Linked DNA regions of Oryctolagus cuniculus. Each later gene encodes a partner of the first gene's protein in a complex. Links are inferred from orthologs where the notes say so. Each region holds a gene or a part of one and is shown on either strand. Other genes may lie near its edges. The genes, in order: SENP2 and SUMO3.

Region 1 (3,803 bases):
ACCATCATCCACTGCTTCCCAGATGGATTACCAGGAAGCTGGATCAGAAACACAGAGAGTAGCTGGGACTCAAACCAGGCACTCTGATATAGGATGGAGGTATCCCTAAGTGGTGGATTACTCTGCTGCACTAAAATACCCACCACTGTAGCAGAATTTTATATTCTTAGAAGACATACTTAACTACTGAAAGTGATTAATTTTACAGTTTTCCTGCTAAGCTGCAAAATAAGTTAAACTGGTATTAGACCAACCAGGTCCTATACTCTCAAATAAGGTAACATTGCTCCCAAGGGAGTGAAAACTGGTACTTAGCGGTAATAATCTTTAGATATTTCGATGGTTTGTAGCCCTCTAAAGCTCAACCAATTATGACTTATTGCTTAGTATTATTGTCTCTCGTTATGGAGAAATTAAATTACAAAAGTCTCAGGGGGAAGGGGACAATAAAAAAAAAGCAGAGAAAACTGGACTAGGAGCATAGTAAACCTTAGATACATGGGAACTGAACCTTCCAAAAGAAAGGTAGGCAAGCAGGGAGGGAATATGAATGTAACAGAAGTATGTATTGTTATAAGCACCACCCAATACTCTTGTGTGTGATTCCAGTAAGAAATTTCTATGCATGTGGTAATATAAATGTATGTATGCGCATACAGGTATGTATATGTGTACATTTTATAAACATCTTACACAGAAAATACCAGAAAGATCAAATAATTTGGTGTATCATAACCAGTTTCTAATTGCTGGATCAGAAGTGGAACAGCCAGGACTCAATCTGGTGTCCACATGGAATGCCAGCATACAGGCAGCAGCTTAATTTGCTGTGCCACAGTGCTGACCCCATGAAGTATTTATTTATTTCTGGAATGTTCCTTTTGATATTTTTGGACTGTGGGTAACTGAAACTACAACTACTGTAGTAATTGCTAGAAACCAGCCTCAGTTTGTTTGTTTGTTTATCAAGATAGATAAAAATAAAAAGGGTCTTTTATGTTAAAACATTAAAAATTTTTGAATTTTTAGTAATCATATCTTCTTTCACAAGATTAACTTAACAAATTCATTTATCCTCAGAAAAGTTAAAAGCAGAAAACTGCAGTTGCTTCCAGAAAGTAAAAGAGATTCAAAATGGATTCATCTTACTGACAGCATTCTCACTATGAAGCTCATGTTACTGGGCTGGCACTGTGGAGCAGTGGGTTAACGTCCTGGCCTGAGGTGCCGGCATCCCATATGGGCACCTGTTCTAGTCCCAGCTGCTCCTCTTCCAATCCAGCTCTCGCTATGGCCTAGGATAGCAGCAGAAGACGGCCCAAGTTCTTGGGCCCCTCCACCCACGGTGAGAGACCTGGAGGAGGCTCCTGGCTCCTGGCTTAAGATCACCGCCATTCCAGCCGTTGCACCTATCTGGGGAGTGAACCAGCAGATGGAAGACCTCTCTATCTGTCTCTACCTCTCTCTTTAACTCTTTCAAATAAATAAAATAAATCTTTAAAAAAAATTCACATTACCACTTAAAAGAAATAAGAGGCTAGACTTTAAAGGCTGGTTTCTAGCAATTACTACAGTATTTGTAGTTTCAGTTACCCACAGTCCAAAAATATAAAGGGAAATTCCAGAAATAAATAAGTAATTCATGGGGCCAGCACTTGGCACAGCAAGTTAAGCTGTAGTCTGTATGCTGGCATCCCATATGGATACCAGCTGGAGTCCTGGTTACTCCACTTCTGATCCAGCTCCCTGCTAATTAGCAAGGGAAAGCAGGAAAAAATGGTCCAAGTAATTGGGCCCCTGCCACCCATATGAGAGACTGGGATGAAACTCCTCTGGCTCCTGGCTTCAGCATGGCCAACCTCCAGCCATCATAGCCATTTGGAAAGTAAAAATGGAAGAGATCTTCCCCTCCACACAACTTTAACTCTTACAAATAATTAAATAAACCTTATAAAAATAATACATGCTTCATAACATCTAAACTGCACATTGTTCTGTGTAACATGATGAAATCTCACACTGTCCACTTGGTCTGGCCTGGGACATAAATCAACCCTTTGTCCTTGCTTATCCATGCTGTATATACCACCCGCCCAGTCACTGAGTAGCCATCTTTGTTATCAAATCAACTGTCATGCTTTCATATTGTGTTCAAATTAATCTAATTTTACCTAAATGGCCCCAAAGCACAAAAGTAGTGATGCAAATGAGACAAGGAAAGACAGGTTAACTTGGGCACCATACAGCATCACTGCAGGGCAAGAGGGAAAACAGATATGTTTGGGAACAGTCTGTGGTTTCAGCTACCCACTAGCGATCTTGGAACTCATCCCCAGAAGTAAGGGGATGACTATTAACTTAAAAGTTTCCCCTGTATTCCATGAGATGAAGCCAACTCTCATGAAAGCACAAAGACATGGAGTAGGCTCCAAAATTTAGAGGACTAATACTCCCTATAACAGTTCTTTAGGACATTCAGAATAATGTAACAAATCCAAAGAGATCTCATTCAAATCACAGGATAAGGATTCGAACAAGGTATAGTTTACATAATAACACATGACAAACTTGTTTTCAATTGAATATGCTACCAAGTAAGATGTTCTCAAAGATCAGATATCATATTTAAACCAAAAAAGATGGATTCAATTAAGTTCTGACCTAACAGATAGAGAATCTTAACTGTACATTAAGACTACCATCCAGAGCTTCCTAGGATTAAACAGAAAAACAATGGTGATTGTTAAACACCATTAAACCCTAACAAGGGTTTAATGAGACAGTAGTGAAGTTTTTCAATCTTTACTTACAGAAGAATCTCACAGATCCTGTGGCCCTTTTGCCCCATAGAATCCAGATATTTAAGACACTTTTTTCTTAGGTCCATCACCTATAATGGAAAATTGCATTATCCAAAAACATCTTATATATAGCAGAAGAACTTTATTTCCAAAATTAAAACCATCTTTGAAAAAATCAAACATGAATGAATTTCTAGGACATATTCTTTAATTTAAAAAAAGTTACAAAACATTGTAAGTTAACATATATATATTTCTATTCCTAGAGAAAGGGCTAGAAACTAATTCACCAAAGTATCAGTGGCCCTCTCAATGATGAATTTTGTTTGTTCTCTTCTTTATACTTTCATTCTTTTATAATAAATCTGTTTAACATCTTATAAACAAAACTGAATGAAAGCTCCAGGTATAGGGACTGTGTCTCCTAGCTTTCCAAGCTGTTCAGAAGGTACTCTACGCAGCATGCCTTTAACATATCCTTACTGGTCTTATCACTGGACAGAAAAGAGTAGCCTTAATTATTTAAGAAAACAGTCTGTATCCAAACCCCAACAACTAATCCTCTCAACTTACCACCAGGCTCCAGTGTACCTTTCGATGAATAGGCACCAGAATAAGTTCCTGTTCAAAGAGATTTACCCCTTTGGTCCATCTTTTCACTGCTTGGTAACCCCCAGACTTTAATTTAGGATAGAAGAAAGTACTGAATGCATGAAGTACTGGATAGCCTTGCTTTTTATTTCTTTCAACCAGAAGATTCATATAAAAATTAATGACCTGTAAAATAGCAAGAGAGTCTAAGTTGGAATATGGGCAGCATATTACTGAAAACTAAATTTCTACCCAAGTAAGGATGAATTACAAAGTGCGAAGTTAATATATGGAGAAGGGAAGGTATGAGAGAAGGGGATGAAAGGAATGAAAGCACTGTCTCTGCAGAAGATTAAAAAAAAAATTGGGAGACAGGAGAGATTAAGGATGCATAAAAGTGTTCTTTTGAGG
Region 2 (4,283 bases), about 94 Mb from region 1:
TGGAACGCCACGACCGTCGAAGCACAGACGTGTACGACCCATGAGCTGGTGAGACGAACGCTAGCCACCAGAAACGGCCGTTCTGACTGACCACAGGGGGGTGCTGCTGAGGCGGCTCGCTGTTTGGGAAACTGGGGGAGATCCATCATTTTCTCGCCGTTGCTAAACGAGCTGGCAAAGCACACTGCTGACGGGCAGAAGTAAGGCGAGGAGCGACGCGGGACCTGCCCGGCAGTGCATCGGAAGGCACCGGCCCCAGAGGGCGTCTCAGCAGAAGGGCCCGCCCGCGGTGAGCGCCACCTGTCCGTTTACAGGGGCACCGGGACGAGACCCCTGGGCAAGGCAGCCGGGGGGCGCCGCACCTGCCCCAGAGGGCGTCTCAGCAGAAGGGCCCGCCACGGTGAGCGCCACCTGTCCGTTTACAGGGCCACCGGGACGAGACCCCTGGGCAAGGCCCCTGGGCAAGGCAGCCGGGGGGCGCCGCACCTGCCGCTCGCAGTAGGCCTTCATCAGCTTGCTCAGTGGGGTGTGCCTCTTGATCTTGAACTGCACCACGGAGCCGTCCTGCCCGGCCACCTTCAGGTTGATGTGGTCATTCTCGGTCTTCACGCCCTCCTGCAGGGACAGGAAACACCTCTAAGGATCCGGCGCTCTCCAGGAGCTGAGGGGCGCCGGGCTTCACTGACGTCATGGCCACCACCTAACCGGCGCCTCCGTCCAGGCCCCTCCAGCAGGCGGCTGCTTTGTTTTGGCACAGAACGGACTTTCACCCCCAGCCGCTGGGCGTCCCGGGGGAGCAGCACGCCCGAGCCTGCAGGGCCCAGGAGAAGTCGGAAAACCCATCTTCGTTTGAAAGTCACTTTTACAAAACTAACAGAACCACACACTGCACGCAGCTGTGCGTGACTTCAGAGAAGCAGAAGGCAGTGTTGACAGGAGGGAGGGAAGCTGCGGTCCACGCGGCAGCGGCCAGGAGGGCCATGCGGCCCGGGCAGGTGCGGACACGTGCGTGGGGCTGCCAGCTCCCGGCCCCAGCCCCGCCGTTGCAGGCATCTGGGATACGCACAGGGCCGACGGGAGACCCTCTCTCTGTGTCTCTGACTCTCAAGTAAACACACTTTAAAATCTTTTTTTTTTTTTTTTTGACAGGCAGAGTGGACAGTGAGAGACAGAGAGAAAAAAATCTTTTTTTAAAAGAGGAAAAGAAGTCCTAAAACCAATTGCCCCAATTCATTGTGGTCAGTATTCTGGGGGGCAGAAATGGTTTTCCCATCTGACCACAAGGCTGCCTCCCCGCACGCCCACGCCCCACGGCCAGAGCAGAGCTGGCGTCCACCGGCAAGTTTATGCCATGGGCGAGGACCTGGGCCGGGGGGCCCTGCCCTGGGCACACGTTAGAGGCTGTGGCCAGATGCCGGCTTTCCTCCCTCACCCAAGCAGGGCCCGGCCAGGGGCTGGGCTCCAGCCTCCTCCCTCACCTGTGAAGGGGGCTGCTCACCTCTGACCCCAGCTGCAGCAGGAGCCCCAGGTCCCCAGCACGGAGCCCCAGGTCCCCAGCACGTGCTCAGAGACCGGAGCTTCCGCCTCCACCTACCCAAGGACTGCCGGCCTGACCCAGGGCAGCCCTCGGGGCGGGACAGGAAGGGGCCCACCCCAGGCCGGGACGATGGGAGCACCCTGGGACCTAGAGGGAGAGGGGGAGCACCCTGGGGCTGTGACGGGGAGGGGTGCACCCTGGGACCTAGAGGGAGAGGGGGAGCACCCCGGGACCGTGACGGGGAGGGGGAGCACCCTGGGGCTGTGACGGGGACGGGGAGCACCCTGGGGCTGTGACAGGGAGGGGGCGCACCCCAGGGCGGCGACGGGGAGTGGGAGCACCCTGGGACTGTGACAGGGAGGTGGGCGCACCCTGGGACCTAGAGGGAGAGGGGGAGCACCCTGGGGCTGTGACGGGGAGTGGGAGCACCCTGGGACTGTGACAGGGAGGTGGGCACACCCTGGGACCTAGAGGGAGAGGGGGCGCACCCCGGGGCCATGACGGGGAGGGGGAGCACCCTGGGGCTATGACGGGGAGGGGGAGCACCCTGGGGCTGTGACGGGGAAGGGCCGCACCCCGGGGCCGCGCTGGGAGACGGCAGCACATCCGGGGTCGCAGCGGGCTACCGACCCCGGCTACTCCCACTCTCTCAGGAGAGGGGCCACCGCGCGGGAAAACCTGGACGGAGGACGGGGCCACGCGAACACGCCCTCGAGGACGCGCGCCAGGGGGCGCACAGCGGGGGCGGGGCCAGGAGGCGGGGCTTGGAGCGGGGCTCGGGAGAGACGCTGTCAGGGCGGGGCTTCTCGGGGCGGGGCTATGACGTAAGAGGCCCGAGACCAGAAAGGGGGCGGGTCTCCGGGAGAGACCTATTGGGGGCGGGGCTAGGACGGGACGGGGCTAGGACTAGAGGGGCTCGAAACCGGCAAGGGGCGGGGCTCGAGAAGCGGAAGGGGGCGGGCTCGGGGAGGAGCTCCGACGGGTGCAGAGCAGGGGCGGGGCTCCGGGACAGACGCTGTCGGGGCGGGGCGAGGACGGGGCGGGGCGCGCCGCGGAGCCCGCGGTGGGGGAGGGGCGCGGAGGCCCGTGGGGGAGGGGCGGGCGTGCGGCGTGGGCCCGGGCGCGGGGCTCGTGGGCGCCGTGGCCACGGCGGGTGGGGACGGGGCCTGCCAGGAGCGGAGGCGCGGGTGCCCCGGGGCGGCGGGCGGCGGGCGGGCCGCGGCTTACCTTGGGCTTCTCCTCGGACATGGCTGCGCGCGGTCGCGGTCGCGGCGGCGGCGGCAGCAGCAGCGCGAGCGGGGCAGTCGCTCTCCGGGCCGCCGCTCTCCCGCCGCAACTGCCCTCGGGGCCGCGCTTTATCCCTCAAATCCCGGCGCGCCGGTTGGCCGGGGGAGGTCACGTGGCGGGCGCGCGTGCACGAGGCGCGCGCCCTGGGGCGTCGGGCGCGCGCCCGGGCGGGCCGCGGTTCCCGGCGGTTGGAAGTGCGTCACGGGGCGGGTCCCCGCGCGACCCCGCAGTCTGGGCGCCCGGGGGCGCGCGTGGGACCCGGGGCCGCAGGCTGTCGCGGGTGCCCGGCCCCGGGGACGCGCAGGGAGTGCACGGCTGGGGGAGCCCAGGGCCCGGGATCGGGCTTGGGGGCGGGGACGTGAGGGCCAGGCCTGGGCTCCGGAGTGGCTGCGCTGACGTGGGCAGGGTCAGGGTCCAGTTCGGGCCTCGGGGCCCTGGAGCCACCTGCAAGTCCCCTTGGGAACCCCCCGCCCGCGCGCGGCCCCAGGCCTCTGAGCTGTGCAGGCCGAGGCCAGGCCACGCACCCCCCACTTCTGCGGGGCTGCATTTCTCTAGGGGGTAAAGGAAAGGCGGTGGGGGGGGCTCGGGAGAGGCCCTTCCCCGACTGGAGGGGACCTGTGTCCTCTGTCCACATCACGCAGGCTTCTGCAGACAGGGCTGGGGTCACCAGGTCCTCTCCTCCCGGCCACTTCCCTGGCCGGCGCCTCCTCTGGGGCGTCCACTCTCCACCATGGGGAGCCCCCTCCCGGTGGTTTGGCTGACTTCTAGAATGCTGTCCACACCTAGTCCTCGCAACAACCCATTCACGTATGAGAAAACCGAGGCGGTGGGAGGTGAAACCACAGGCCGGGTGTCACCACGGGTGGGAGCTCGAGCACCTGGCCGCGTGGCCCATGCAAGATGGGGGCCCACGGAACCGCGGAAGGCACGCCCACCCCCGACCTTAATCACCTCGGATGGAGGGGCCGGTGGGCGGCACCAGGATGAGCCGCAGCCCAAGGCTCGGAACCGTTTCCATCCTGCCTGAGCAGGCCAGCAGACAGGTGCCACTCACCTCCTGGTAACGCTGCGGAGCCGCAGGGCATCTCCCAAGCCCCCTTCCACCCTCAAACGTCTGGGCAGGGCCACCATTAAGAGCAAAGGTTACTGGGGCTGGGGCTGGGGCTGGGGCTGGGGCTGAGCCTCCGCCTGCAGCGCCGGCATCTGTGGGCGCCTTCAGTTTCCAGCGGCCGCTCTTCCGATCCAGCTCCCTGCTGTGGCCTGGGACAGCAGCAGCAGGCCCAAGTCCTTGGGGCCCTGCGGCCATGTGGGAGGCCGGAAGAAGCTCCAGGACCCTGGCTTCGGATCGGTGCAGCTTCGGCCGTTGCGGAGAGAAGCAGCAGATGGAAGACTTCTCTCTGTCTGCAATAAATAAGTAAAATCAGAGAGAAAAAGACTGCTGAAGTCTGGCCGTGAGAGG

What was found.
Region 2: the proteins of SENP2 (region 1) and SUMO3 are in contact, whole or in part, in a crystal structure (PDB 2IO1), measured with the Homo sapiens proteins. The link is inferred for Oryctolagus cuniculus from reciprocal best matches to the Homo sapiens genes SENP2 and SUMO3. Residues at the interface, in NP_067640.2 of Homo sapiens: Gln385, Asp386, Phe393, Lys394, Leu395, Arg396, Trp410, Leu411, Asn412, Asp413, Glu414, Ser439, Thr440, Phe441, Pro444, Lys445, Arg456, Trp457, Lys459, His474, Lys476, Val477, His478, Trp479, Met497, Gln499, Gln542, Asn544, Gly545, Ser546; in NP_008867.2 of Homo sapiens: Arg55, Arg58, Arg60, Phe61, Asp62, Gly63, Pro65, Asn67, Asp70, Leu75, Asp81, Asp84, Phe86, Gln87, Gln88, Gln89, Thr90, Gly91, Gly92, Val93, Pro94, Glu95.

Annotation. Positions count from the first base shown.
Region 1 is NC_091435.1:95,281,728-95,285,530, reverse strand, and holds part of SENP2 (sentrin-specific protease 2), read right to left. Parts: intron 3,579-3,803; coding exon 3,375-3,578; intron 2,891-3,374; coding exon 2,811-2,890; intron 1-2,810. UniProt on the Homo sapiens protein: Protease that catalyzes two essential functions in the SUMO pathway.
Region 2 is NC_091435.1:1,757,249-1,761,531, reverse strand, and holds the start of SUMO3 (small ubiquitin-related modifier 3), read right to left. Parts: upstream 2,948-4,283; 5' UTR 2,786-2,947; coding exon 2,765-2,785; intron 616-2,764; coding exon 487-615; intron 1-486. UniProt on the Homo sapiens protein: Ubiquitin-like protein which can be covalently attached to target lysines either as a monomer or as a lysine-linked polymer. Does not seem to be involved in protein degradation and may function as an antagonist of ubiquitin in the degradation process.